2 linked regions of the Arabidopsis thaliana genome follow. Each later gene encodes a partner of the first gene's protein in a complex. Each region holds a gene or a part of one and is shown on either strand. Other genes may lie near its edges.

The links.
Region 2: AT5G23430 (region 1) and ERH3 share a complex: the UniProt entries of both Arabidopsis thaliana proteins name them as parts of the KTN80-KTN1 complex.

Annotation. Positions count from the first base shown.
Region 1 is NC_003076.8:7,893,104-7,909,897, reverse strand, and holds AT5G23430 (Transducin/WD40 repeat-like superfamily protein), read left to right. Parts: upstream 1-9,334; 5' UTR 9,335-9,812; exon of another isoform or gene 9,813-9,902; 5' UTR 9,903-10,035; coding exon 10,036-10,063; intron 10,064-10,371; coding exon 10,372-10,502; intron 10,503-10,609; coding exon 10,610-10,727; intron 10,728-10,819; coding exon 10,820-11,046; intron 11,047-11,584; coding exon 11,585-11,687; intron 11,688-12,125; coding exon 12,126-12,196; intron 12,197-12,273; coding exon 12,274-12,348; intron 12,349-12,521; coding exon 12,522-12,665; intron 12,666-12,758; coding exon 12,759-13,104; intron 13,105-13,199; coding exon 13,200-13,712; intron 13,713-13,952; coding exon 13,953-14,012; intron 14,013-14,087; coding exon 14,088-14,209; intron 14,210-14,479; coding exon 14,480-14,614; intron 14,615-14,938; coding exon 14,939-15,013; intron 15,014-15,097; coding exon 15,098-15,210; intron 15,211-15,382; coding exon 15,383-15,499; intron 15,500-15,605; coding exon 15,606-15,674; intron 15,675-15,758; coding exon 15,759-15,825; 3' UTR 15,826-16,304; and 1 more. Other genes in the region: LCBK1 (long-chain base (LCB) kinase 1), read left to right, coding at 938-1,390, 1,474-1,848, 2,002-2,095, 2,211-2,248, 2,591-2,635, 2,709-2,855, 2,972-3,071, 3,631-4,565 and 1 more; FTRA1 (ferredoxin/thioredoxin reductase subunit A (variable subunit) 1), read left to right, coding at 6,120-6,668. UniProt on the Arabidopsis thaliana protein: May participate in a complex which severs microtubules in an ATP-dependent manner. This activity may promote rapid reorganization of cellular microtubule arrays.
Region 2 is NC_003070.9:30,202,728-30,216,667, forward strand, and holds ERH3 (P-loop containing nucleoside triphosphate hydrolases superfamily protein), read right to left. Parts: upstream 5,542-13,940; 5' UTR 5,324-5,541; coding exon 5,196-5,323; intron 4,965-5,195; coding exon 4,493-4,964; intron 4,162-4,492; coding exon 3,964-4,161; intron 3,795-3,963; coding exon 3,550-3,794; intron 3,475-3,549; coding exon 3,316-3,474; intron 3,231-3,315; coding exon 3,143-3,230; intron 3,054-3,142; coding exon 2,772-3,053; 3' UTR 2,587-2,771; downstream 1-2,586. Other genes in the region: AT1G80360 (Pyridoxal phosphate (PLP)-dependent transferases superfamily protein), read right to left, coding at 6,009-6,461, 6,536-6,644, 6,720-6,885, 6,965-7,121, 7,213-7,272, 7,415-7,543, 7,702-7,749, 7,854-7,916; CYCA2;4 (Cyclin A2;4), read left to right, coding at 11,967-12,242, 12,339-12,567, 12,657-12,778, 12,858-12,950, 13,030-13,163, 13,235-13,387, 13,475-13,508, 13,602-13,751 and 1 more. UniProt on the Arabidopsis thaliana protein: Severs microtubules in vitro in an ATP-dependent manner. Required for oligomerization of functional KTN80-KTN1 complexes that catalyze microtubule severing. This activity may promote rapid reorganization of cellular microtubule arrays.

The sequences.
Region 1 (16,794 bases):
ACATTGTTTTGTTTCATTTTATAATCAAGGAAACAAATTCAAATCTAATTACTAAAAAAATTCTATGAGAATTCAAATTTACCTACTAAATATATAAATATAAAGTTAGGACTAAAAACTTATATTAAAAATGAGGGGTTTTAAAAAAAATATCTTGCGAATAAAGCAATTGCAAGAATAAAATATTTCGAAAAATAAAGTACAAAATAATTTTAAAACATAGCCATTAAAGTAACAAATACTACTATAATATCATAAATAAAATAGATTAAAATTTTGGAAAAAAGAAGTCCAAAAAAAGGTTCTGTAGTGGAAATAAATCCGAAAGGAGGGGGCCATAGGTTTCTGCTGTCGAGTCGAATCCAATCGAAATCGAATCGAAATTGAGTCGAGTCATCATCTCCTCCGCCATTATCGTCTTCTCTCTCTCTCTCTCCGCCACCTCTCTTCAATTCTGACGCTTCTCAGATCCTCCGATCCGGCGGCGTTACTTTTGCTGATACACTTCTCTCCATTTCTTCTTTTTGTTCGCCGAGAAGCTAAGGTAAGACGAATAAATAGCTAAAAGCAAGCTCTGACGACGATTTCGTTTTCAGATTCGTTTATCATTTGCTTCCGATTCCTCATGATCTGTTGTATAGTGTTCTTATTTTGATTGAATTTCCATCAAATGCTGGTTATAAATCGATCCATGGACATGAATTTTGTTACAGGAGAATTCTTCCTGAAAACGCGTTGATGGATCTGATGTATAGCTACGGATTAGAATTGTGTAATTCTCTCTAAAATCTGTTCGTTGACCAGCTCGAACGAGGTTTGATTGGGTTTCTCTGTTTATGCTCATCAGGGGTTTTGTTTTGTGTATGCCTTCCGATCACTGTTTGTCGTCTGTTTCGTCCGCGGAACTCAAGAGCAGAGAGATTGTTAGTGTACGGATATGCAGAAGAGTGGTGTTAATCGGAACCCTTCTTTGAAAGTAGCCATTCCTCAGGCACAACAGTCGCTTAGACGTTTAGGTTTTTGCTCCCAAATAGCTACGGGTGGATCTCAGCAGTCATCTCCTATAGTATTCCCTGAAAAGAGAAATAAGAAGGTGAAGGCATCTTCGAGACGTGGTGAGGTTACTAATGATCCACAGGTGAAACCGAAGCCTGATGAGCATCGGATCGATATTGGTGGAGGGGATGAGAAATCAGATTTGTTAGGTAGTCTTGTTTACGCTGGGAAGCTTGTGTTGGATAAGAGGAAATCTGCGAGTGGAAAAGATGCAACAGAGATACAGCAACCAGCCGCTACGGACATCTCTATTAAGAAAGCAGTTGATGCAAAGCTTACAAGCAGCGCTTTGGTTTGGGGTTCTGACATGCTACAGCTTAACGATGTTGTCTCGGTAGGTTTTTGTTGGCCTTGCAATGAACTAATTAACTCTGTGTTTTGGAGAACTGAGTCAACAAACTTATCTATGTTTTCCAGGTGACATACAATGTTGGTCTTAGGCATTTCACTGTGCATGCTTATCCAATTGGCAAGGGTTCTTGTGGCCTGTCTTGCTTCACGAAACCAAAGAGAAGCCGCAAGGATTTCCGCTTTGTCGCACCTACAGTAGAAGAAGCCGTTCAATGGGTGGCCAGTTTTGGAGATCAACAATGTTTTATCAACTGTTTGCCACATCCTTTAGTCGCAAAGAAACAGGCTTCGTCTGAGTTATTTTCGGTCCCCATTGATACCCCTCCTGAGTTGGTCTTCAGGTGTAAGAGTGCACCCAAAATGCTTGTCATATTGAACCCTAGGTCAGGACATGGACGATCTATCAAAGTTTTCCATAATGTCGTGGAACCAATTTTCAAGGTACCGTTCCCATCTTTTTGTTCTTTTTGGATGTTGTAGTACTACATCATCACATTATTTCCACTTTTAGGTACCCTAGAGAACCATTTCCATTTCTCCAATCCCATTATGCATTTTTTTTAATCTTGTTTATGATTTTGTGAACTGTCACAGCTGGCCGGAATTAAGATGGAGGTTGTCAAAACAACTAAAGCAGGTCATGCGAGAGAATTGGCTTCCACTGTCGACATTAACTTATGCTCTGACGGTACCTCTACTTGTTCCAACACTTAATGATATGTTTAACATATCTAGCTTCTAATATGCATATATTTTATCTTACATATCTACTATTACTTACGAGTTCTTAATAATTCTTCCAGGAATTATTTGTGTTGGAGGGGATGGAATCATCAATGAGGTGTGATAATTACCTTTCCTAAACTATACTCATTTTTTCGCCCTATTTTGGTTAGGAGTTAAGTTCATGAAGTGATGTTCCTTTTATACCATACTCCCGGTTACTTATCTGCTTACAAGCCCTGGTGCCTGAACGTACTTCGGAACCAATTTTGGTATTAAAATGAAACCTTATTGGCTTATTTCAGCGTGCTCACACCACTTTGCAAGCATGTTGAATAATTTAAGAGTTTAGATACTCTAATCCTCCAGAGCGAGGACTTTGGGATGCATCTTATAGGGAAATACTTGCTCGAGTTGAAACACATGAGAACTTTCACTATTGATTTTTCGATTGATGTAGAACTCTTTAGGTAGACTAAGATGGATTCAAAAGACTGCTTTCGATGTTAACATCTCCTAGATTCTATTTACTTGGAATGAACTCTCATCTCAAGGCCTGCCTTATTTCAATGTTTCAGGTTCTTAATGGTCTGCTTACTCGAAGCAATCCGAAAGAAGGAGTTTCTATCCCAATTGGAATAGTACCTGCTGGTTCTGATAACTCGTTAGTTTGGACTGTCCTTGGTGTAAGAGATCCTATTTCTGCAGCACTCTCTATTGTGAAGGTAACCCCGCCTAAAATCCTATTGGTCCCTGCTTTGTTTTATCCAGCCGCCAACATTAATTAGCTTCTACTTAATTAATATTTTCTCAGTGAAAGATTTTTTTTTTTTTGGTTTAGGGTGGCCTAACAGCTACTGATGTCTTTGCTGTTGAATGGATTCATACCGGTATTATACACTTTGGAATGACTGTTTCCTACTATGGTTTTGTTAGCGATGGTAAGTGAGGATACCTGTGTGCTTTGTCTTGTATGATTTTCTAATGATAAACAGTTTCTCAAGTGTAGTTAGGTTTGAATCTGTATTCCTAGCTTCTTTGTTTCATTCACCGTGTCTGCAACTGTTTAGATCTTTCATGCATTTTAGAGGAGAGTTTTTAAATCTTCCTTACTGTAATTTTTCAGTTTATCTTCTAAATATTTTAACTGGCACAGTGTGAACACTATGCTGACTCCCAAGACACATAATTTCATAGAATATTGCAGAATGTGCACTCTTCTGATGATGAGTTAGAAGCAGAAAATCGCCTAGTTATTCAAACGTATCATGGATAAACTCAAATACATTGAACTTGTGCAAAAGGCTGTAAATCTCTCTCCATTTCTTTAACAGCTCCGGTGTGTGTTTGATGTATTAGTTTGAGCTATTGGACGCTGTCTCGTGTTTGACGTCAGGATTATTGCACATATAATTACCTTCATGAATACTGTATAATGTTTGTGGCATTCACCTGCTATAACTAAATTTCATGGTTTTTCTTGTCATTATCTATTTGCAGTTTTGGAGCTCTCTGAAAAATACCAAAAACGGTTTGGTCCTTTGCGTTACTTTGTTGCTGGATTCCTCAAGTTCATGTGTTTGCCGAAGTATAGCTATGAAGTGGAATATCTTCCGGCACAAAAAGAGGATGCAGAAGGCAAAATTCGACTTGAAAAGGAAGCTGTGGATATGCAAGATCTCTACACGGATGTAATGAGGAGATCAAGCAGAGAAGGATTTCCTAGAGCCTCCAGTTTATCAAGTATTGACTCCATAATGACCCCAAGCGTAGGCGAATTAGACACTTGTAGCAGCACACATGCCAGCACTGAGCCGTCTGAATATGTCCGTGGAATAGATCCTAAAATGAAACGCTTGTCCTCTGGAAGAAGAGATGTTACGGCTGAGCCAGAGGTTATTCATCCTCAAGCACAGTCAACAACCCCTAATTGGCCAAGGACAAGATCAAAGTCAAGAATGGATAAAGGATGGATGGGGTTAACATCCGTGCAGGATCCTCCAACTCGATGTTCATGGGGGAATACCGGTGGTCAAGACAGGGAAGATATATCATCTACTGTATCTGATCCAGGTCCAATCTGGGATGCAGGACCCAAATGGGACACTGAACCGTCTGCTTGGGATGTAGAAAATTCGATCGAGCTGCCTGGTCCTCCTGAGGATATAGAGACAGGACTGAGGAAACAGAGCATCACTCCAATATTTGAGGATAAATGGGTTTCGAGAAAGGGACATTTCCTCGGCATCATGGTCTGTAACCATGCTTGTCGGACTGTGCAAAGTTCCCAAGTCGTGGCTCCCAATTCAGAACATGATGATGGTACAATGGATATGCTCTTGGTTCATGGGTGTGGAAGACTGAGGTTACTGAGGTTTTTTATACTTTTGCAAACAGGTCGACACCTTTCTCTTCCGTATGTTGAGTGTGTAAAGGTAAATTATCTTTCCTATTTTCTTACATTACGAAACCTGCAACTCGCTATGTGCTAGGAAATGCTAATCAAACGGTCAAACTCAATGCAAATATTATAAGTCTAGAATAGAATGTAGTTGATCAAATGCATGACAATTGCAGGTGAAATCAGTGAAGATAAAGGCGGGGAAAAATACGCATGACAGTTGCGGGATAGACGGGGAACTGTTTGCATTGCATGGAGAAGTGATATCGACAATGCTACCTGAACAATGCAGACTGATCGGTAACGCTCCTGGACGACATTCATAGTTAATTAATCTCATCTAAATTGTGAGGATGGTGAGAGAGTTTGGATGTTTATATATCTGGAATTCATTTTTATTGTTTTTTGTTTTTTGTCGGCGTCAAGTTTACGGTAAGTACCATCTATGTGATAAGAGAAGCAAACATGAGAGAGTATACCAAGTACATCCTTTTGTGCCATAACTTCCCTATAACTCTAAAACCCTTTGTATATTCTTTTGCCCTTTTTTGTGTGTTTTGAATTATATATGTACTGTGTACGTGTTTTCTACAACGATTTGTGTGTTTCCATTTCTTTGTTTGGATTAGTCGATCAATAACGAAATAGATGATTTGAAGTAACGAGGTTTTTGGACTAGGTTAACTAGGTGAACTTCTAAAGTGATATTATTTGTGGATTAAGAAGATTTTATTCGAAGATATTTAACTGATAGAGATTCTTTCTGTCTGACTCGGAACTTTGAAGCATCAGAGTCTCACAGATGAATATAGTAGAAGCCGCACGTTCCTCATCCCGTGAAAAAGGACACACGTCTGACTTCTTTATATTGCTGGGTCTTCTTCTCCCTTTCCTTTTTACTTCTTAAAGTTTAAACCTTTGTTATTATCCATTTCATTCACATGTTTTTTTTTCTGTCTGCTTATCATTTACACGTTTCTTGATTTGTTTCATTCGAAAAAAAATCATATTAAATTGCATCCATATAAATTTGTAGATGAAGATTTTGACATATTAAAAAAATGTAAATGCATATTTTAGCATCAATTCTTCCAACTAATAATGATAAAAAATTTCCATCGTTTGGAAATAGTAGACACTATCACACTAATGATCCGGTAGTAAACCATGTGCATGAGCCATGAGGTTAATTTGCATTCTTTCATTTGATTTTCACTCCATAATCTTTCGTTTTTATTTGGTCAGTCAAAACTCAAAATAATAACACATCTAATTTTAGTGGCTTATCCGGTGGACTGACCATCTTCAACTATACATTTTGAAAATTATTTGTATTTTAGATCAAAATTATTTATTATTAACAAAAATAAAATAAAATACAACTTATATCCAATGATATATATAAACATATATATCAATGGTCAAAATTTTTATAATTTTTAAAATTGTAAAGCAAAATATTAAGGTCGTAATAGTAAAATGTTAATTATATCTTCCCACTGAAAAAAGAAAAAAGAAAACGAATCAGTTTTATTCCACTTGCACAAATCTTCTTCACACACATTTTTTTTTCTTCACTCGGACTGATATGAGTAGCCAAATCGCTTTGTCACCGGCCATCGCCGCCGCCATTCGCCGTCCGTCCTCTCACGACTGTCTATCCGCTTCCGCCACTACTGCTACCGCCACCCCCATGGCTCTCAAATCTTGCATCGTCGCACCTCTCTCGCTATTCACCTCTCAATCTCAAATCAAACACTCAAGCTCAAGAAAAACTTCTCGAACCACGATTCGATGCGATGTAGCGATAAAATCCGCAGATTCGATAAACGCAGACGCCAATCCTTCGTCCTCACCGTCATCAGAGGAAGAAATCGAAGCGGAAGCGAAGGCGAAGATAGGATCTAGGGTTAGAGTAACTGCACCGTTGAAGGTTTATCATGTAAATCGAGTTCCAGAGGTTGATTTAGAAGGTATGGAAGGTAAACTCAAAGATTACGTTGCTGTTTGGAAAGGGAAACGAATCTCAGCTAATCTTCCTTATAAGATTGAGTTCTTCAAAGAAATTGAAGGTCGTGGTCTTGTTAAATTTGTTTCACATCTTAAGGAAGATGAGTTCGAGTTCATTGATCAGTGATGAAACAAGAAAGACAATTTTTGTTTTCCTTTCTCAGTGTTTGTTTTTGTTTGTTGTGTTTACTGGAACCTGGGAATGGAGAATGATTTGTATGTAGTGTGATGTGTATTCAACCTTTAGCAATCATATACATAAGGGTTTCTTCACTCTCTATTTATGTTGATTTGATTCATTGGCTTGATCTTGTTATTGGTTTCTTAGTGTTCGATAGATTGGAAGAAACGAAAAGTTGGATCTAGATGTGGTTTCTTGATGATTAATAAGGGCAATTTTAGGCTGCGGTTGTTTCAAATGATTCCATTAGCAAGATCAAGATCCAATTTGGGATAACACCTAGTTTACTATGTTTGCTGTTTAAGACTAGTATCATTGAAGTATCTTGAATTGAAAGGGTGGATCTTGGTCATGATGGTAAGGGTGATTAGGGAGTGGAGCTCAGACTCTCTACTAGATTGAGTTAGCACTTGAGATGTTACATAGTGTGGATCGTACTTGAGGAGTCTTAGAGAAACAGTTCCTTAGGTATTCAGATGATTTTCCTATATGCAAATCTGTGTTGTCTCTGTTTGGTTCATGTGTCTTTAGCTTATAAAATATGTTTGATTTTGAATCAAAGGTAAACTATTGTCATTCTCCTCTTCTGTCTTTTCTAGTATTTGTGAATTCAGCAGCTTCGTGGCTGTGGTATTGGTGATGATCTTTATGCTCGTGGTCGCATTTCGTCCTAGTGAGATAGAGGAGAAGGCAATCTAGATTTGTAGTCGTCATCAATCGCATTTTGATCTAGGAGATGATTGAGCTACGATTGTTAGTCTTTGAAACCTTGTGAATTTCAAGCTTTTGTTGTTGATAGAGTATATAAGCTTAAAGTCTCTAAAGGAAAGTGCTCCAAAATATGTCATCCTTATGTTTAGTTGGTGGGTCAGATTAGGCCCGTTTTTCGTTCGTGGGTCAGATTCTAGGCCCGTATCGGTTTAGCTATTCCTATTCTCATAAACTTTAAAACAAGATATTTTAGGTAGAGAGAAGCGAGTCGTCTTAGTCAAATACATATGCCCTAAGGTAGACAGGTTCATCATCATAGATATCACGAGTCTGTCATTATTCTCAGAAGAAAACTAAAAAAAAAATCTTAGTAATATGTTTAGATTTTGTGAGGAATATTATTATGGTTGTTTGATCAACTCTAACGTACTAACACGTCCATGTATCACGTCTTCCAAAGTTCAACGTTTTATAAAGATTGGAGTATTAAAATTGGAGTGGATGGAGATTCGAGCTTGCATATGAATAATACAATAATTGGATTACAAAACTCAGATTTGGTGACAGCACATCTAGGCCAAGGCCAGGCCAGACCATGGTGGCAATGATTGATTTAGCTTTTTAATTAGCTAATGCATTGTGCGCTTTCAAAAGCAAGCAGCCAAAGTATATGTAATGAGGGACAAAGTAATTTAAACTCTAAAAAGTCAAAACGCTTATATATGTCCGTAATTTTAGGTTTCTATTTCAAAATTTTGTAGTTACTGTAATCTTGTCTTTAAAAGTTGTTACAATCATCTTCCACATAAAAACTTTATCTTACCGAATGTTTATTTAATTAACATCTATCCATAAAGTTGTTTTCTTGATGTTACGTAATTGATTTCTACCACCTAATGAATTTCTTCTTTAACAAGAGAATATAAAAAACATGATTTTAAAATAGGTGTTCCTGATATTTTAATGTAATGTGAAATGTCAATTCTACTTAAATAACATTGCACCAATAAATCAAGTCCCTAATTCTAAAAATTCGACGACGGATAAATGATTAAATTAACCATTCAAAATAATTATGAATTTTTGGTTAAAGTCAAGATTCAAGAAGCATTGCAACATTGAAATCATGGTTTCACAAAAAAAAACTCTTTATTAAATAAAAAAATCTTTTGTTTTTGGAGTTAGAGTTTGTGTACTTGTAAAATGTATGGGATCGCTCATGGCCCCATGCAATTAGGTAGTCCGTTACTTTCAAGCCAAACCTTTCACCATAATTTTTTTGTCTATCCAACGTTGGTCTATCTACTGACTGTCACTGTTCTTTCATTATGGATACAAAGTTACATTTTGCTGTTGGATCGCTCACTTATTTATCCTCACAGTACGTTATCACTAATATTGTATAAAAATACTTTGGAAAATAACCGATAAGTTATATGATCATTGCATATTTGTTTTGGACGAGTTTTTTAAATGTTAAGAGATACTAGAACTGAAACACTTGTACATAAATTTTGTAACTTTTGGACAAGGGTCCATGATAATAAATTTATTTAACATCTAAGCAATAATCACCTATTAATGATTACATCGCCATTTTCCATTATAGCACCGACAGTAGTTTCATAATTCCATTATATAAAATTTCGGTCAAAACATTTTCTTAAGGATTAATTTGCAAACCGCGATTTCAGTTGTGCAATGTCTCCCCTTTTTTAAGTCTTTTATTGATTAAAAACTATTTTTGGATATGCACTAGTACTATTTTGTTCCTACAATCAGAATGTATATACTCTTTTTAATTTTCCACTGAATATACTCTTATGTAGAATAATTAATTGTTATTGTTCATTTTAGATGCAAAATACAAACATGATGGTTTCTGACAAAAAGAAACCAATGGTAAAAGTTTAATAATTTGTACTCTTCCTTGTAAATGTAAATGTGAATAGTAGCAAGATGCATGAAAAATGAGGAACTCAAAGAATTAAATGAAAAAATTGTTTTGGGAATTTGAAATAGAGAGAAGAGGGAGAAAACTTAAAAGAGAGAAGACGTAGCCAAAGGTTAAAAAAGTATCTCTCTCTCTCTCTGCGCCTCCCTTTTTGCTTCTCTCTCTCTCTTCTTCTTCTTCCTTGTGCTCTGCTCTCTGTCAATCTCTCTCTGTCTCCTTTTTTACTTCGCCATTGGAGAAAAGAGAAATCACTTTCAACTTCTCCTTAGATTTTCCGCTTATCTAAGACAACAACGAAGTTCCGAGTATTCCTCAAAAAAATTCCTCCTTTATCATTTCTTCACTTCCCCAAATTTTGTGTGTTTTCGTGGAGCAGAGTGAGATTGGCGTTTTGGGAAGACGAAAGTTAAGCCCTTTTTTGCTGGGTACGGCTTCCATTTCCTAAAGGCTTCATTTTGTATCTTTCCCAGAAATGATTTCTGGGTTTTTGATCTGTTTCCCGTTTGAGCTTTCAGATTGGTTCAGCGGTTGAGAAAGCGGAGATCTTGAGGGCTGCTTGCTTTCTTCGATTTCTCGAGATTTTGGTTTTGGTATGGTTGTTGAGAGTGTAATTTGAATGTCCTCCACTTCAAGGGTTTCGTTTCCGCCATGACCACCAAGCGAGCCTATAAGCTTCGTATCCTTTTCTTACACCAATTTTGATTCTTTTCGTATTTTTCTCTGAGATTCTATTTTTAGGGTTTGTTCTGTGTCACAAGTGCCGTGTTTGATCTACTGCTTTTATTTTGATATGCACGAGATCTGTCTGTGTTCATCTTTTTTCATGTTTGCATTTGTTCCCCGTGGAGTAATTTAATTTAAGACCTTTCGAGAAACTTGTCTGTTTAAATTTAAGACTATTATGAATGAAGTCAAGTTTGAGTTTTGACTAGAGTCTCTATCTGGTACCTATTGCTTAGCCTTGACTTTCTGTGTGGTTTAAAGAGGAATTTGTGGCACATTCTGCTGCTGTCAATTGTCTTAAGATCGGAAGGAAGTCTTCTAGGGTTCTGGTAACAGGTGGTGAAGATCACAAGGTCAATCTTTGGGCTATTGGTAAGCCCAATGCCATTCTGGTCAGTTCTCGGTCTACTGTTTCATTATGTGTTGGTTATAAGTTAGTAGAGTGTTTCTATGGGATTCACTCTTTCTGAGTATCTCATTTGTGCTTGTTTGTTGTCAGAGCTTGTATGGGCACTCAAGTGGAATTGATTCAGTGACGTTTGATGCTTCGGAGGTCTTAGTTGCAGCAGGAGCTGCTAGTGGTACTATCAAACTTTGGGATTTAGAGGAGGCAAAGAGTAAGTTTTGTAGTTCCAAGAGACCATTCTTATTGGACTCGATTTGACTTCTGTGAGTACTTACGTGTTCTTTCACTTGCTTTGTTGAGTAGTTGTCAGGACTCTCACTGGTCACAGGTCCAATTGCATCTCAGTGGATTTCCACCCTTTTGGTGAGTTTTTTGCGTCAGGCTCACTAGACACAAATCTTAAGATATGGGATATACGAAAAAAGGGCTGCATCCATACTTACAAGGGTCACACGCGAGGAGTCAATGTACTCAGATTCACCCCAGATGGTCGCTGGGTTGTATCTGGAGGAGAGGACAACATTGTTAAGGTTGGTAGCTGCTTTCATGTCACTAGTCATTTTTCAGTTCTGGGTATGTGATTTTATCTTCTCTACTGTGGAGGGAAATACAGCTGCTTAGTTGACATAATTAGTTTGGATTTACCTTTGGGAGAATTTGGAGCAATGAAACTGCGCTTTTGGTTATAGACTATGAACTGGCTTTCGAGAGTTGGTAGGAATAAGCTTTTGTTCTAATTCTCTTTGTATGTATCTCATGAATGACGTTCTGTAGTAAGCATTGCCCTTTAAGTGTGGAGGAGAACTTGCGACTATTTAGTGTTACCTCTCTGCACCTGAGCTGAGTATGCTATATGAGAGTATTTAGGACGTACTATTCTTTTGCATTTTGCTAAAACCCACATAGACCACCCTGGCCAACTATTTCGGATGCTTCATCTCTCTCGGTTATTGCTTCTTTACCTCTCTCAGCGCACTGTATTGTTATCTTGAAAAGCAATTTACCGGGAACCTTTTTTTTTATCTTTCTGTGTGTTAATGGATCTGATATGCAGCTTGTCTTTACCAGGTTTGGGATTTAACAGCTGGAAAACTGCTGACCGAGTTTAAGAGTCATGAAGGGCAAATTCAAAGCCTAGATTTTCATCCTCATGAATTCCTACTGGCAACAGGTTTGTATTACTCTTAAAAATTTCTAACACCAACACAAAATAAAACTTCTAGGCTAAGAGTGTCTGATCACAACTGTATTGCGGTTACCAGCCCAGCCCAACCAGTTATATAGATCCCTGTGTCATGGCGTCATCTTCTTTTTATGTAATTGAAACTCTTGTGGCCATCTTATCTTTTTAGCTCTGTGATTTGAGATCTGGAAGTAAATATGCATCTAAAGTATTTTTCATTTCTTTGGTCATATTATTGAGGGTGTGTGTAACATAGATATTTTCAGAATGGTGCTGTGTTGTGTAGATAACAATAGAATGCCGACGTTTTAATAATGACTACTTCTCTCACTCTCTGTTAACGTTCACCTAAATATTTACATGGAATATGTAAAATTAGTGTGATTACAAATATTTGAAGCATTCTGTTTTTGCCTGTGCTAACAGGTTCAGCTGATAGAACTGTAAAATTCTGGGATCTGGAAACATTCGAGCTGATTGGTTCTGGTGGACCTGAGGTACAACTTGTTTTACGCTAAGTCAAATTGGTGACATTTTATTTTCCCTCTACCTTTAATATTCTCATTTTCGCTAGACTGCCGGGGTCCGTTGCCTGAGTTTCAATCCAGATGGAAAGACTGTGCTTTGTGGATTGCAAGAAAGTCTCAAGGTAAATTCTTCTATACTTTGATATGCAGTATGTAGATTCTTAAATTAGATATATGTTAATTGAACAACTCATCTTTTGAAGGATTCGTTCTTATGTTTACTCATTTGCTTTCAAAATACACATTCCTACTCTTCTTACCTCACTCCTTTGGTTTAATCCTGTGCAAATCGTAGATTTTCTCATGGGAGCCAATTAGATGTCATGATGGAGTGGATGTTGGATGGTCAAGATTGTCAGATATGAATGTTCACGAGGGAAAGCTTCTTGGTTGCTCATACAATCAGAGTTGTGTAGGCGTGTGGGTTGTAGATCTCTCGGTATTCCTCTCTCCCTACATATCTTTTTCTTTTTGTTTAATTGTAGCTGGTAGTAATCTTTACGAACCAACTCATTTTCAAATGCATGGTCAGCGTACTGAGCCATGTATGGCTGGAGACACTGCGCAATCAAATGGTCATCCAGAGAAACGATCTTGCTCAGGAAGAGATCCAGTAGTTCTCAATGATAATAACTCAAAGACAGTTCTCGGGAAGCTGTCCGTTTCCCAAAATGTAGATCCTTTATTGAAGGAAACAAAGTCTCTAGGAAGATTATCTGTTTCTCAGAACTCTGATCCTTCGACAAAAGAAACAAAGTCCATTGGAAGGTCATCAACATCACAAAATTCAGAGTCCTCGATGAAGGAATCAAAGCCTCTCGGGAGGTTGTCAGTTTCTCAAAATTCAGACGTTTCTAAAGAGTCAAGGACGTTTTCATGTATGCTTGCTTCTATTATTTTTCTCTTTTCTTCTTACTTAATCTTAGCACTGATTAAATGATATGCCATTTCTGGTTTTGTCTGCTGTTTGAAGCCACAGGAAGTTTACCAGGCACTCCTCATAGGGTCAGTTCGACCAATGTATCAAAAGCCACTTCGGGTGTTTCAACAGCCGTCTCTAATGCTGCAACGTCAAGGAGGAATTTTACAAAAGCTAACCCAAAGGCGAATCCTGTCAATAAGGCAGCAGATTTTGCTCCGGTGATTGTCCCCAGAGCAGACCCTAGAATAGAGCAGGCTACTGAATCCAGAGCAGAACTTGACATAATTGCAAGAACCATGCCGTATTCATTGCAGGCGGCTGATTCCCGAAGGTCACCTAGCAGCAGAAATAACCCTGATCTGCCAGACGCTTCGGTTCTTGAAATGTCTGAGTCTCAGCCAGTTGAACCAAATAATATACCAGATGGGGGTACACTTCCTGGTGGAAAGGTTGGCATGCGGGGTGCAACTGAGCGAAGCATTAATGATTTTAGATACAAGAGATATGGCAGGAGTAATTCAAGGTCACGGATGGGGTCACCTCCACGAAACCACGATGAAAACTGTATGTTTTTGTCCTTTTGAATATTTGCCTGTTTCAGTGCTAATATGAATGTCAGCTGGTAGTCTTACACTACCTTGGCCCCTAAAATGTGGCCTGTAGGGTTAATATTATGAAGTTGCTCCAGTGAAACATGCAAATAGTGGAAAGAATCATGTGTTTAAGATTATTGGTTGCTATGACGTACCTGTGTTGAGTTTGATAGATGATATTCTCAGTTCTAAGCTTTAGTCATTGTTTCAGATGACTTGGTAAGCCACAGATCAAATAGAGACCCAAGCCCCACTGAAAGTCAGAAAGGAGGTGATTCTTCAGCCCAGCTTTCATCTTTTCTTTTGCAAATGAAGCGAATCTCATTCATGTGTCTTATCATATCAGGAAGATTCCAGTCACTCGTCATAAATAGGGAGAGGAGAGGAAGATTTTCAAACTTCGAGGGTCCTGTTTCAAATTTTTCAAGTGGAAATATGCCTGCTCCAAACATCCGCCCTTCAAATATGGTATAATAGCCTTACTATTTTCAACTTGAGATCTTGAGGCAATAACACACTGACTGTAAATTGCCACAAAAGAGGAAAGTTAGAAAGTTACGGACAAAGAGGAAATTAATGCATTTGATTTATACAATTTCAAATGGTACTGCCTTCATAACATCTTAATAGACATAATATTTTGTGATTTAGTAATTTTCAACTACACATCTAGTCATGCTTTTGCTCATGTTCCTCTGAGATCCAGAGATAATAGATATTGTATTTCCTTTCATATAGTTCAAGCAGAGAGGGAACCATATGCCAGTTGAACAAGGGATCGATTCTCCTTCTGAAGAAAATATTGTTGAAGACATAATGGGAAAGCACAATCAATTTGTCAGCTCTATGCAGTCTCGTTTGGCTAAGTTACAGGTAACGTGAAACCAGTCACGTTGTGACAATTTTGTTGGCTTAGCCCTAATTAGACTAGTACCTTGAATACTTATTAGAGTTTTCATATGCTTATGCACGACCACTTAGCATGCGTAGAATTACTATTTCAACACTTGGCATGTTTTAGCTGGGAGTGAAACGCTGGACATGGTTCTCCTCTTCTGCTTATTGAAAATTTTGGTCCTTGTTTACTTATGTTGGTGGATTTTATAGGTGGTTGAGATGTCAGAAGCTTCGCAAAGAGTTAGGGATTGGAAAGACTCCTGATTTATTCTGTCCTAAATTGATTCACCAAATTTGCAGGTAGTTCGTAGATATTGGGAAAGGAATGATGTAAAAAATTCGATAGGCTCGATAGAGAAGATGGCTGATAATGCTGTAAGTATCTTCTTTTTGTATCAGTAGCAGGATATATGAAAAAGATTATCTGCTCACGCCAATCTTCTTATTCATTGGTTACAGGTTACTGCGGACGTACTGGGTATAATAACCGAGAGAAATGAGATTTTGACACTGGATAATTGTACCTCCCTTCTTCCCCTTCTAACAGCTCTTTTAGGGAGCGGCATGGATCAGTAAGAACTCGCTTTTCTGATTTTTAAAAAATGGCAGAGTCGTCTTTCTAAACTTATCATGCCTCATGGATGCATTAATAGGCTTGATCTTTATGGTCATAGATATAGTACATTAGACTAAGAATTCTTGATTTGTTCTCACAGTGTTTGCTACACCATATCTTATATTTAGGCATTTGAGCGTTTCCCTGGATTTGCTGCTGAAGCTTGTCAGACTGTATGGGTCACCAATTTACTCATCACTGTCAGCTCCAGCATCTGTTGGTGTAGATATCGAGGCTGAGCAAAGGTTTGCATGTTTTTAACCTTATGTGCATATCTATAAGCCATTGTGCGTGATAAATTTGATAGCATACTCTCTTGGAACTCAACAACACATGTTTACTGCAATATAGGATCGAGCGCTACAGCCGTTGCTTTGTAGAGCTAGAGAAAGTCAAAGCATGCCTTCCCTCTCTAGCAAGGTAAACGTCTGAAGAATCCATAATTCTCATTAATTGTGTAAGAATCTATGTGGCTCAAATGATTATGTGATGGAATTTGTGTAGAAGAGGAGGTTTGGTGGCCAAGTCTGTGCTCGAACTCAACCTAGCATTTCAGGAAGTTTCATCATAATAACTATGAGTCTTACAACCCTGGACAAAAACGCAGAGCAAAAGCCCGTCTTCCTCGTGGAAGAACCTGCATCATCCCAAGTCCCCAACCATCTGCTTTTTGATGTGGATTTGGTTCCAAAGGGAGTCTAACAAAAACTAAAGGCTGATACTTACTAAGTTAACCAAAAGAGTTGGAAGGCAAAAATCCTCCCAAGTTAGCTGCTTCTGGTCACTAATCTTTGTCTGCATTGTTCTAATTTTGGTGTGTAGTAGAGAGGGACAGAGAGAAAGAGAGAGAGCCATTGGGCTGTGTATTGTTCTTATGAGAGTACTGCTTGAGTTTCTACTCGTCTGAAAGAGACATGTTCAGTGTTCTCTCGAAACATGAATAGAGGTTTTTCGCGGTTTCTTGGATTTCTTCATGTCGTTGTTCAATCTTATGTTCTTCGTTATTAATTATGAGCCAAAAAGAGCAAAAATGGAAATGAATTCTTCATACTAAAATTCGTAAAACACACAGAAAAGCAAATAAAAAAGGTGTCATGAACAATGTTTATTGTAGGCATTCGGTTAACCATTCGGTTTCGCTTCGGTTGCGCATGGTTTCGGTTATTTCGGTTATAGTAATATAAGAACCATTTGGATATTTGAAGAATTTTGGTTCGGTTCGGATATCTTTCGGTTCGGTTCGGTTTGGATATTAAACTTGGTAACCATAAATAAACTAAAACCGAAATAACCGACTAAAAACCAAAACAACCAAAATTTTTGACCAATACCGATATAGAACGTACGTAAAAAAAAGAAATATTCACAACTCACAAAGATGGTCCATACTCTCCATAATATTAAAACACCTTATTCACAACTCACGAAATTCAACTTGCAAACTAATAAAGAGAAAAACATAGTTAAGTGTTAATACATACAATATATGTGATATATTATCTATCATACATATATGCTTTGGTTATCCTTTGGTTATCGG
Region 2 (13,940 bases), on another chromosome or scaffold:
AACATGATATCTGATTTAACATGTGGTTGAGTTAATCAGAACAAAATTAAAAACTAAAATAGCCTTTAACAGAACATATGGCCTTTGGGAGTTCATTGATGCCATGGCATCGCTCACTAACAACAAACTCGTCTTCCCCGGCCTCAACTAAAGAGGAATTGTTTGGCACGAAGCGTACGTCATAAATCGAGGCCCTTCCTTCGACTTACGATTTCCAATCAAAAGTTGCGTATGTTAAAAAGAAATAATACAGATTTAGCAATATATAATATATATCTAATGTTGTCTTTTAACGTTCCACTTGGCTCTCAGCCTCTCACTTGCTAGTGTTATAAAAAGAAAGACGACAAATTTCGAAATATTGCAATGTTTATTTTTTTTTATTCGATCGAAAACACCAAAAATTAATATTAACTGAAGATTCTAGTTATGCATATGGCAAACAAATCGACAATCATCTCGGTTTAGAATTAGTGATTTATGCGTTTGTCTGTCTCCGACGAAAAAAAGGGTTATCATTTTATCATGAGAGCCAAGCCTTATACCGTTACAAGTAGTTGTCTGTTTATGGCAACGAATCACAATTATTGATGCTACGTAACTTTTACGACAAAACCATAAAGTAATATAAGATTTATATATGTATGTATGGAAAACACGTAGATAATACACATAAGTACATAACTCATGGACATGCACATTATTATCATTTGCAGTTCATCTGCACGTGTTCTTCTTCTTCTTCACATGATCATGATTTCCACATCTATTTCCATATTTATTGTCACAGACCACGATAATTATATTTATATTTCATCGGAATATATATATATATGAGACGTCCCTGGAATCGCATAACCTTTTACGTTTTTTTCTCTTTTTCTGTTGGGTCGATTCCATTTGGAACATATATAACTAACAACACATCTAGGAGTTGAAATGCGTTTTTGACATGGTTGATAATGATCCACGTTGAAATAACGCCTATCTTACATATCCTTTCGACTTATTTTGAATTGATTATTAAAACTATACCTGAAACACCACTAAAGCCTATCCTTTGGTCTTATTTTAATATATATACTAAAAATTTATTTTGAAACACCACTAACGTATTGACAAAATATGTCGGACCTCATTGATTCATATCTTTTCAACACACATCACTAAGAAATGTACATAACTACAAATTGTCTTGTTTATGCCCAAACGGATTAGATGTTACTGGGAAAGTATGTCCTAAAATCTTAAGAACTGGGAAATCATTCACTGAGATGCGTTGGTTCAAAAATAACACGACAATTGTTATTTTCCCACTAATTGAAATTGACAAAATTATCTCATCTTGGCATTTTTTTTTTATTTTTTTTTGGAAGTAAAAGGTTGGTATCGATGCTTATTGTTATATCTATACATCTAATAGGTTTTCCGGAAATTATTATCTGTAAAAAAGATACTATTAGTTTAGAAAATTCAATATAATACAACTCTAGCAAGTCACATTTTAGCTTTTCTCTACATCCGGAGTCCTCCTTAGCTAGCTATAGATGGGCACTACGTACATTTTGATACTATTTACTAGTTAATTGATAATTGTAGTGATAACTGATCAATCTGACGTTTTCTGGCAGCAATTCATGCATGTTGTTATTTGATCATTCTCAGGAAAAAGAATATCGTATAAATTACATAAAAGATGTGGTACACATTATATTCAGATTTCTATTCTATTGGCTGGACAATAATTCACCATGAATGATTTGTAATATAGATGAGCTCGAAGTAATTTAAAATACATCAAAAGAGGTCAAAAGACATTTTCCAATGTTAAGAGATATGAGGAAACATGAAGATTGCTGGCATATTTTGAAGATCGAGGGAAATGTCGTAGATGTGATTTAGGGTAATATACATACAGATAATGCCACATAACAAGCCAAACATAACAAGCCAAACATCGCCAACCCATGCATGCACGCAGCTTCTCTATAGCTTTCTTTGATTTTTTTTATTTTATTTATCACAAATGAGATATTTCGATCTAATATAGAAATACAAATTAAGGGTTGTCGGGATTAGAAAGGAACAACTGAACAAGTAACGAAGAAGGATGAAGTGTAAAGATTTGATTGGAGGCATGCAGAGATATCATGTTCTTCGCCGTCTCTACGGAAATATACTATATACGTCACCTCGAAAACATATATTGATCGATCATCGATGATCACATATTCATATGATAGAATTGTATTTATTTTGTTTGTAGACGATATGATATATAATCACGTAGACAAAATTGAGGAGGGAGCCCAACGATGCAGGAACACTCTCGAAACTGGTCTGATGATAAACGGTGCTGCCTTGTCTCTTTACATTTTCATCAGTTAAAGGGTAACATATATAGTATTTTATATAGCACGCAGTGAAATTTTTGGTCAACGATAGGATGATGTTTCAATCCCTATCATTTACAAAATATACAAATACTTTCAAAATGATTGCAACGTATTGGAGATACAAAGACCAAGGTGATTCTTTGCTGGTTTTTTTCTTCTAAGACAGTAAAGAAATTATGAACACTAAGTCTGAAGCCAAAAAACCGAAGAAAATCATATAATCCTTTTCTTTTTTCGTAGAGGTTTACAAGTTTGGAATATAGAAACATAAGAATATGTTAAATGACTGGCAAATAATAATAATGATACAATAAACAACAACACACAAGAAAAGGCACACATCTTTTGACACTAAATTAAAAAAAGTGGGTTTAATTAAGCAGATCCAAACTCAGAGAGCCACTTCTCGTGTTTCTCGATATCAGAGGAAGACACACTCGGTTGCACTTTCCTAATGGCCTCTTCGAAATCACACATTGCCACTGGATCATTTGATATATCGTCTTTCGACATGTTCTTTATCTCATCTCTCGTTTTCCCCGCTATCTTACGCCGCATCCCGTTCATTGATGCGTCCCTGCACACGTTAGTCAGATCGTCTCCACTGTACCCTTCCGTTCTCCGGGCCACATCTTCAATGTTAACATCACTCGCCACCTGAAAAGTGACAATGTTCATTGCTAAATTGATTGCGTTGGACCAGTAGAGAGATTTGCGAGTGTTGTAACAATGTATCCACAACTAACCTCAACTGTTCTCAGATTGATATTGATAAGAGCCTTACGACTTTCAAAATCTGGAAGTGGGATATATATACGTTTTTCCAACCTCCTCCTGCACCAACGTGAGCTCCAGAATCAGCAATTTCATTATATTAGAGCAAGTCTAAAGACGGCATTAACTCAAAGAATATTTAAACCTGAGAGCTTCATCTATGTCCCACGGGAAGTTGGTAGCTGCCAATACCATTACTATTTTGCGACTACCATCTTCATTTGTCGCTGTATTGCTCACTCCATCTACTTGAACTAGGAGTTCCGATTTCACCCTTCTTGATGATTCATGCTCTCCAGAACCCCTGCATCACACCTCCACCAATTACAAATACTTTTCATTTCAGTATCGAAATCTCAGTATCGTCAGGAAAATTTACCCCCGAGAATTGCAGAGAGAGTCGATCTCATCAATAAAAATTGTGCTTGGAGCATATGCCCTAGCCAGATCAAACAGGCATCTGACCATGCGCTCACTCTCTCCACGCCATTTTGAAGCTAATGTAGCAGAAGATACATTGAAGAAGGTGGTACCACACTCAGTTGCAACAGCTTTTGCCAACAGGGTTTTACCTGTCCCAGGAGGACCAAACATGAGAACTCCTTTCCATGGTCTTCGAATACCCTGAAGGGAAACAAAAACAATCAAATTAAGTATCCTCTATACCTGGAAGATCAAATATAAAGTCTACGGAAATGATGAATTGAAACTGTTATTCTGTATGATTGCTCCATGTCTAATAATAGTAATATAGAATCCAAATTTCACAGCGTATGGAGCAGAATCAAAGTACCTGAAAGTATTCGGGCATCCATAAAGGAAGGACAACTGCCTCCTCAAGCAGCCTTTTGGCTTCAGACAAACCTGCAACATCATCCCAACGGACACCAGGAGTTGAGTCCAACACATCCCTTTCAAGCATAGCAGCCAGGTCCTCATCAGGTCCCTCATACAATCCCCTTTTTGACTTCCCATCTTCAGCATCACCATTCTGATATCAACGAGGAAGCCGAAAGTTTTATTAGTTGTTGAAAATAGGTGGAAACTACCGACTCAACATAACCACAGGAAACATGGCCATGACTCTAAAGTTTCTAAATACAGATTTCAGAATTAGACATTCATAAACGTAACAGAAATCATGATCTTTGATACATCAGTCCTACTATAACATAACAACTTCGAAGTTTCATGACATCCTGTCTATCACCAAAGTAAAGTAATGGAAATGGAAATGCCATAGTCAATATTGATTGATGGAAAATTTTCAAGTTTAACCTTCTCTATTGTGCAATACCAAAAGGCAAAAACATATAACTTACCATAGACTCAGCCTTGTTAGATTTTGAGGCAGCTCCCTTCTTTCCGGCAGTGGAAGAGCGGGCACCTGCAGTTGACTTACTAGTAGCCCCACCTCTGCCACCACGGGAAGCTGGACCGGTCCGTGTAGTAGGGCCACGAGCCCAAGCCCCATCTTGAGGTGATTTTCTAGTACCAGTTTGACCAGCCCTGGCGGGTCTTCGACTAGTAACATCACGGGTAGGAGGCCTCCACACATCAGGATCATCCATAGGACCACCACCGGATGAAGTTGGATACTCATCCAAGGGCTGAAAAACAAAGGATGATTTGGTATTGATAGGTGGAGAAGCAGCGCGACGCCCAGTGGGAGCTTCTTTAAATGCTCTCCTCTCTGCATCCAATTGCTTCACAACTTCCGTCTCTTCCATTATGGCCTTTTTAACGTTCATCCATTTGGTCCGGGCCAAAGGATCGTCAAGGGTGTTTAAATGCCTAAAACAGTATACCATAGCTTCAGAACCACTAACGCAGCACATAAGAGTGTTCTATCTCTGTCTACACAGACATTGCACGGTGAACATTGCAAAATTCTAGATTTTTCTAAGCCCATTTCAATACAATCCAACACGAAACTATTAAAGTAGCTTAGGGCTTGAAGAAATTGCCAAAAGGGGTGACAAAAAAGCTAGATTCAAGACTGGAGAGATAAGAGGAGCTACTTACTTGTTGATCTGAGCAATGGCGCCATCGAAGAAGATGACAGATGTGTCATAGGATCCTTCTAGTGCATATTCTCTCGCTAATTTCAAGTGGTCTTGTAGACCCGCTAACGAATTACTACTTCCCACCATTTCCTCTTTTACTAAAAAAATAGCCTATTCCAAAACAAAATCAAGGGTTCCGAGGCAAGAGCTTCGATCTCGGAGAACCCAAATTCTCCTTCTTTCTCCCTCTCCGGCTCCGGATTTCGGAGATGTGACTCGTCGGCGAAGATGGAAGACAAAGTAGAAGAAGATGGAAGCCACGTCGATGGTAGTTATGATCCAACCTCTCTTTCTTTATTCGGGTTCGATTCAAATATTTTAGATTCGGGCCCATCTACGGCCCACTTTCAAACCAATAAAGCCTAAAATCATCATCGATTTTAACTTTATTTATCCTCTGGGTTCAGAAATTAAAATTTCAAATAAAAGGCCAGATTATCAATTTCTCACAAGTCATAACGTCAATCATAAGACTCGAATTTAAATTTTTGAATTTAGAGAAAGACTCATAACGAATAAAGCTGATCCAGTTTTTGCTTTTGCATTCATTGCTGGATTATTCATTTGAATAAGTAAAGAGTATATACATACACCAAAGGGGTTAAGGATTCAACCATTGGTAACAACATCCCAAATACAATGACTTTGTAAAGAAGAATCAGCTATATTGATTATTGAATAAACAAACACTCTTTTATTTCTTTTTAAAACAACTATATAGCTTCAACCAAACGCAAAGTAACCATCTTTTGACCCTTCTTTAAACAACGTCTCACTCCACCATTCCATGGTGAAGCAGCTCCTCTATTCCTTTCCTCAGCCTCGCCGCTGCAGCTCTCATTTCAACCTCCTGCAACCCTCCAAAGGAAACCCGGAGATACCCGGGGCTACCACTTGCACACCCCGGGATCACCACCACACCATGGCGGTGAGCCAGCCACCGCACCACCTTGAAATCATCTCTGTGTCCCTCTGGCAGTTTTGCCCACAGGTATATCGCTCCTTCTCCTCCCTTAACGTTCTCCTTCCCCAGCGGCTCAAGCGCCTCTTTCACAATATCCCTGTTCTTCACTAGACTCTTTACCCGTTCCGTTATCCACCCAGAACCTTCCTCTAATGCGTATACAGCCAGTCGCTGCGAGATTATGGCAGCACAGATTGGGATGTTGTCCTGAATTTTCACAAGCTCTGTTGCAAACCCATCTAATCTCTCTGAGTAAGCTATCTGCAGGTCCATCAAACCTTTTTATAAGACAATCCCAGTGTTTAGTTTGGAATAGAATTGAATCGAGCACTCACATATCCAAGCCTCCAACCCATCATGCCATAGGTTTTAGAGAAAGAGAAGACATTAACAATGTGGTCTCCCTCAACGCAACAATGTTTTAAACCGTCATACATGAAATACCTGCGATTTTCAAATCCCCGCTTATTACTACATTCAATTTGGACATCATAGGAATTAAGGAAATGAGAAACTCACTCGTATGTGTTATCTACAATCAGCCAGCACCCTGCATCTTTGCATATTTGAGCAATCCTCTTAAGCAGCGGTTCAGGGACATAGGTGCCACTTGGGTTACCAGGATTCACAACAGTTACAACTTTCGGAGTCGGTTTAGACTCAGACAGTGTCCTCTCTAACCAGTCTGGAACAAAAATGATTCACTGGTCACAACTAAAGCTATGTTAAGTCATGAAAAACGTGATACAGAATCAAGGAGGTACCAGCGTCAGGATAGAGAGTGTCTGACTGGCCAGGACCAACAATTATGTTGGTGACTCCTGTCATCTGAAAGGCCATGTAGGAGTTGAAGTAGTATGGCTCAAACATGACAACCGAATCACCAGCATCACATAATGTAATAACAAGGTTCACAAACGCCTACATTAGATGCAAAAACAGAAACAGAGTATGAGAGTAGAAGAAAACAGAAGGAAGAGCAATCAAAAGAGTAAACAAAGACAGGTTATACCTGATTGGCACCTGCAGTAACCATCACTTGTGAATTGGTTAGCTTGTTTTCTTCACGCAGCTTCAGAACAAGACAAGGAATCAAAAATAAAACAAGCTCAGTCACGGAATTGGATTCAAGAGCAGCAAAAGTGGTCACTTTATTGGATACAAGAAAGGTTGCCAGAGCTAGCTAGAAGAATGGTTCAGTACGGTGCGATTACCTTTTTGAGAAGAGCCTGTCTCAACTCGGGAAGACCTTCATCGGGGCCATAAGAACTAATGATAGGATCCCAGACAAGCTCCTTGACCTTCTCTAAGGCCTTTTGAGGAGGCTGCCAATGCACCACTCCCTGAAAAGCACATGAGCAAAAGAATCAGCCTGCAGACAAAACAAAACTCCAGACAAAGTATAGCCAAAGAAGGTGACCACTCACGAAAGCCCAAGTCTTTTGTGAACTAAACTAGATTAGATTATAAATAAAACACACATTTCTAGAGAGGGCAAAACCTGGGCGAGAGACATGGGGTTCGTCAATTCCGCCATCAAACTCCGAATCTGCACGCAAAACCCCAACAATTTCTCACTTTAAAGAAAAAAAGACAAGAGACCAATCAAATCAAATCAAATGAAAATGGAAGTGGAGAAGTACGAGGTTTGACCTGAGCCATGACGGGCATATCAGTGCCCAACGTTCTCCTCGAAAGCATCCCAAACGAACCCATTTCAAATCAATTCGATCGAGACCTGAACCTGATGGAGAAATTTTCCAATTAGGATCGAATTGTTTGATTATATATACACACTGGCTAGTATGCAAGAAATTCAGAATTAATTCTCAACCTAATGCAAAAGGGATCGTTGACAAAAACCTAAAACAGAGATGAGCGTTGCTTAAGCACGCCTGTTCTTTGTCCTCTTCTTCTTCTTCACCTACCCTTGTTTTTTACTTCATGTTTTTTTATTTTTGGTGTAATCATAATCTAATCTATTTAAGAGAAAATAAATAAAAAGTAGTTTCTTTACTTTACGCCAATTTGAAAAGAACAAAAAAAGAGTAACGCCTTTCCTTTGTTACTTAGATCCAAAAATTATTATCAACCAGCTTTAAAAATCCATTACTACTCTACAGATTCTGATAGAAAAAGAGAGAGAGAGAGGTCAAAACTTTACCAGAACTAAGAGAGAGACGTTTCTCGTGTGTGTTCCTTGCAGTGTCTGATTCCTCTTCCTCTGCCACATGTTACTGATCAACCAGAGGATTTGCTTTGCCTTTGCCCTGAGAAAAAGAATCAAACGTCACGTTTCAAACGTAGAATTATTTTTCTTGATTGCGTTTATCATTTCCCTAATAAATCACATAAAAGGCCCTTCATGTTTCTATATATTTGGTAATCGAACCCTTTGTTTTTCTTCAGCCCTTTTCATCGTTCAATTCATTTTTCATCCGAATGGCACAAACATATATTCCACGAGACATTTTTGTTGTTGTTACAAAAGAAGCATTGTTGTTACAAAAGAAGCAAATTCATGGATCACATTACTCAAACATGCCATGCAAATTATTTGGAGTTTGGTGGTTACATGTTTAGATAGATTGGGTATTGTGGTAAACTAAAGGAGTGGAGGGAAAGTTGGGAGTGTTCAAAAACTTGAAAAAAATAGACCAACCAAACATGACATGTTGATTATAGATCTGTTTTTAAAATTTAATTTTCATCTTTATGCGTGTTGGTTTGAATCGTAGATCTAGTAGCTTTTTGGTCTTTGGATAAAACCGTAAAACGTTATTATTATTAGGTCCACGAAGACCTCTCGTTACGTCCTTCTCACACTATAACAGCTTTAACGCATTAGTCCAATACATATACAATAGAACATACTGTATATATCCTAAATTTGAAATCCATGAGCTTTGATTATGTAACTTCCCATGTGGTAAGTGAGACTATTGGTTATAGCTCCTCACTGTAGCTTTTGAATTACTCGTGCGTTGTATATAAATAATTATCCCAAGGATACTTTTGTTTGTTTGTGATGCTTTCTTCGATTATATCACTTAACATCAAAGTTTCATATGAAAGTTTTGACTTAATCAGTAGACTTTACTGCCCTTTCACGTACTACCGAACAAAATAGACTCAACTTTAACTTTAAAAGATTTGTCATTTTCATTTCAAATCTGATAGTTTTTCGAACTTCTTCTTTTTGTTTTTGTTAAAACTCGTAATTGAATTGCTTCAAACGCGAAACAACAGCAAAAATAAATAATTAAGTTTGAAAACAAAGATAATTCTGAATAAGAAAATATATCAAACAAAAAAATATTAAAAAAATAAAATAACTTCTGCTATATTTTGATAAAACGGCTATAGGTAAGATGTGAAATAATGTATAACATACAAGATTACCAAGGTCTTAAACATAACAAGACCTGAAATGGCAGATTCCACCACTTAATTATTTGTTCATGTCCTAAGTATCTTTTCTTTTTCTAAGTGGATCCTGCGGATCTAAGCATCAAAAGTAATTATTATCATATTTTCTTTTTGTTTTAAATTAAGTTTTTTTTAATTCTAAACTGATTATGTCAAGTACAATGAGATCTAATACAGTTTTCATAACTCCTAGTATTATTTAAAAAGAGTGTTGTATATAACGTTTAATCGCAGAAAAAACTCTCCAAGTTTTATTTCACGTAGATTTGGTCAAAGTAACCGATGAGAAAATTAGACATAAGTTTTGTTTTACACGAAATAAAGAAAGTGTTAGTATCACATAATGCATGTTATCTTTTTACTCAATAGTATACAAAGACCACGGGAGCGTCGTAAGTATGATTTTAAAACGGAGCAAATCCTATAGAAATAGAAACGGGTTCTTTAAGTTTCTACAAAATGTTTAAAAATTTGAAAGGATAGTGTAGAATTTATGGATGGATTCTTACTTAACATGCATGTGGAGTCCAAATAAGCATTAAGGAATATTAAAAGACACATAGAAACGTAAATATAAATATCAGAAGAGTGATTCTGGGGTAAACGTGCATTTGGTCTTTTTTTTTTTTTTTTTTTTACTACTAGTTAGTTTTTCTATTCAAAAGTTAAAAACTTTACCATTAAAAAAATAAATGGTGGAATCTTTCTTCAAATCTTCAAAATTTGAACAGAGTTTTTTGTAATTTAATCATTTTTATTTACCTTTGGATGAATAGCCACGCTGTTACTGTCTTTAAAAAATGCGCTGTTACTATCTATGTAAATAAATTATGACACATTTCTTGGAAAACGTAACTATTCCTCCTCTCTATCGTTCTTTTACTTTAATACAAAAAGTAAATATAAAAAAAACATTCGAACAGAGAGAAGAAAAACAAAATCTGCATCATTAATTACATACAACAGGTTAATGGAGAAATGGAAATGACACAGAACCCAAACTAGCAATGGGTGAAAATAAGGTAAATGATTAGTTACCAAAATCTAAAGAAAAATCTATGTTCAATCACGTACCAAATTGAAAAGATTAACCACAAATTACTTATCAAAAAAAATCCCAAGCAAACTAAACTGTAGTGTTAGCTCTTTCTTTATCCCCTTGTTTTATGGTCAAACAGTCAATGAGTTGCGTTATAAGCACATAAACAAACACTTCTTTCTCTAATAAAAATAAAGTTTCTATTTTTATATACAGAAAAGAAAAGAATATAAAACTTATATCTTTAAACCATTCTATATCCCGCTCACTCTCAGAGACAGTCCCTTTGCATAAAAGCGAATTGACTATAACCCATTTACTCTCTCGATCTGCCCAAGCTCCCATCTTTTCTGTTCGTAGAGCTCATTTCCCCAAATTAATAAAGAAAAAAAAAAAGACTTTTTTTCTTCTTCTTCTTCTTGAAGAAATTTCTGGAGCGTAGTAAGTTTCTATCTTAGTCTCTCTATCTCCATCTTCTCTGTTTTATTTTGCTTGTGAAATGTGATGATATTATTTTTATGCCGACCCTCTGTTCTTTTTTTTGAGGCGGTTCTCCTGGAGGGTTTCTTGAAACTTTATCTTGGTTTTGAAGCTTTTTTGGTTCATGGGTCACTCGGATTTTTCTTGGATTAAAGAAAATGTGACTTTGATTACTTTTTTTTTTAACGAACGGATCGATAGGTTTTTTTGGGAGATCTTGCAGCTTTAAATCATGGGTCTTTTCGTTATCCTCAGAAGAAATTTGATCTAGTCGTTCCTTTTCTTGTTCCTATTTCTTATGGATAAACATTTTTATATAAAAACCCATGAAAGAAATTTAGAAACTTTACTAATTTTTTCTTCAAATTTAATTATCTCCAAATTCTGCGCAAGTCGCTCCCGTCTTTGCTAAAATTGCTAAGACTTTTTCTTTCGAGCGTTGAGGGTTTTCTGCATTACAGTTTTCAAGTTTTTGTCAACAAGTAAATTGTAATTCACAAAGACTTGTTCTTTCAACTTGAATCTGACTTGAAACTTTGGAACTTGATTCGACGAACTTAAACAACAAGTACGTGTTGCAATTATTTGTCTAGTCATGAATGATCAGATAAACAATCCTCGTTTAGAATAAACAATTTCTCCAAACATCTTATATGCATTGGACTCTGCATAGATAAATATATATCTCTCTGTTTTGTTTAATCTTCATGCCATTGATCTTCGATTTCTCTTGACTTCAAATTCACAGATCGAGAGTTAATGTGGTGCTAAGTCCCAAACGTTAGAAAAGGGTTGGATCGTGTCAAAGGGTTTCAATCATGGGGAAGGAGAATGCTGTTTCTGGAAACTCTATACCAATCCATGGTCGCCCTGTAACTCGTGCTCTTGCCTCTGCTCTGCGTGCTTCTTCTAAGCTGATAACATCTTCTGAAGTGGCTGCTACAACACAGAACCAGGGACGGGTTCTTAGAGCAAAGAGTAAAAGAACAGCCTTGGATGAGAAGAAAGCCAATGCACCTAAGAAGCGAGCTGTTCTTAAGGATATCACTAATGTTACCTGCGAGAATTCTTACACAAGTTGCTTCAGTGTTGCGGTTGTTAACTACACAATGCAGCATTTTAGAATTGCTAAGTTTATATGACAAGAAGTATGTTTTTGCTGACAATTGTTGCTTCTTCTTTTTACTTAGGTGGAGAATATCAAGCAGATAAAGAAGGGACGACAGAGTTCTTCTTCTTCCAAGGTGGCATCTTCTTCGGCTACTTCACAAGTTACAGATGCAAAGGTAGAAGTTGTGTCAAATTCAGCAGGAGCAAGCTTGTCTGTTTTTACAGATACAAGCTTAGGCACAAACGAAACATCCTATAGCATTATCGCAAAGCCAAGCTCCAGATCGCCTCCAAGACCCTTTGGGACAGGTGAATTTTATAAATGGTCATTTACTGAAGCTTGAGTGGGCAATGTATAACATTTCTGATGCATCTTTATTCTTGCAAATGGTTTACAGTTGAGAGAAGTTGTGGTGGAGCAAGTAGCCCGAAATTCGTTGACATTGATTCAGATGACAAAGATCCTCTACTCTGTAGCCTTTATGCACCTGACATCTACTACAACCTGCGTGTTGCTGAGGTATTTATCCCTTGGATTTTGATATCTTACGATGATGCATTTGAGGCATTTGAATCCTTACGACTTGTCTACTTATCAGCTTAAACGAAGACCATTTCCTGATTTTATGGAGAAAACACAAAGAGATGTGACTGAGACAATGCGGGGAATTCTTGTTGATTGGCTTGTAGAGGTTAGTTCTCTACTTCCAGTTTGTTTGTTGCTTACTTATGAAGTCTTTTTGTGTAGCTTCTCACAACTCAAAATTTCAGGTCTCAGAGGAATACACACTTGTACCTGACACTCTTTACCTCACAGTGTATCTCATAGACTGGTTTCTCCATGGAAACTATGTGGAAAGACAGAGACTTCAATTGCTTGGCATCACTTGTATGCTCATTGCTTCGTAAGTTCCTCATCCACCTAAAATCAAATAATGCTCTGGTCTGAACACAACATCTAAAAGAGTTCTTGCAGGAAGTATGAGGAAATCCATGCGCCACGCATTGAGGAGTTCTGCTTCATCACGGATAACACTTATACAAGAGATCAGGTCCTGGAAATGGAGAGCCAAGTACTCAAGCATTTTAGCTTTCAAATTTACACCCCCACTTCAAAAACATTCCTCAGGTAATCTTACCAGACAGTGCAAATGCTTTATCATGTGTTGTTGCTTTTTAGTCTTTGGTGATTCAGAGTATTCATTCATTTTTGCAGGAGATTTCTTCGAGCAGCTCAAGTTTCTTTCCCGGTAATGTGCTTTTCTTTTATCAGATCAGATATATCTATTGCTCATAAAACATGTAGCAGAAAGATTGAAACTTTGTTGGTAATTTGTCTGCAGAATCAAAGTCTGGAAATGGAGTTTCTGGCGAATTACCTAACGGAATTGACGTTAATGGACTACCCTTTCTTGAAGTTCCTTCCTTCGATCATCGCTGCTTCGGCTGTTTTTCTTGCCAAGTGGACATTAAACCAATCAAGCCACCCTTGGGTCTGTAATTGACCAACTATCTTCTTCATTAAGAAACACAGCGAATCTTGAATCTCACTCTTGTTTACTTTATTTTATGAACAGAATCCAACTCTTGAGCATTACACAACGTACAAAGCCTCCGATCTCAAAGCATCTGTCCACGCCTTGCAAGATTTACAGCTTAACACCAAAGGATGTTCCTTAAAC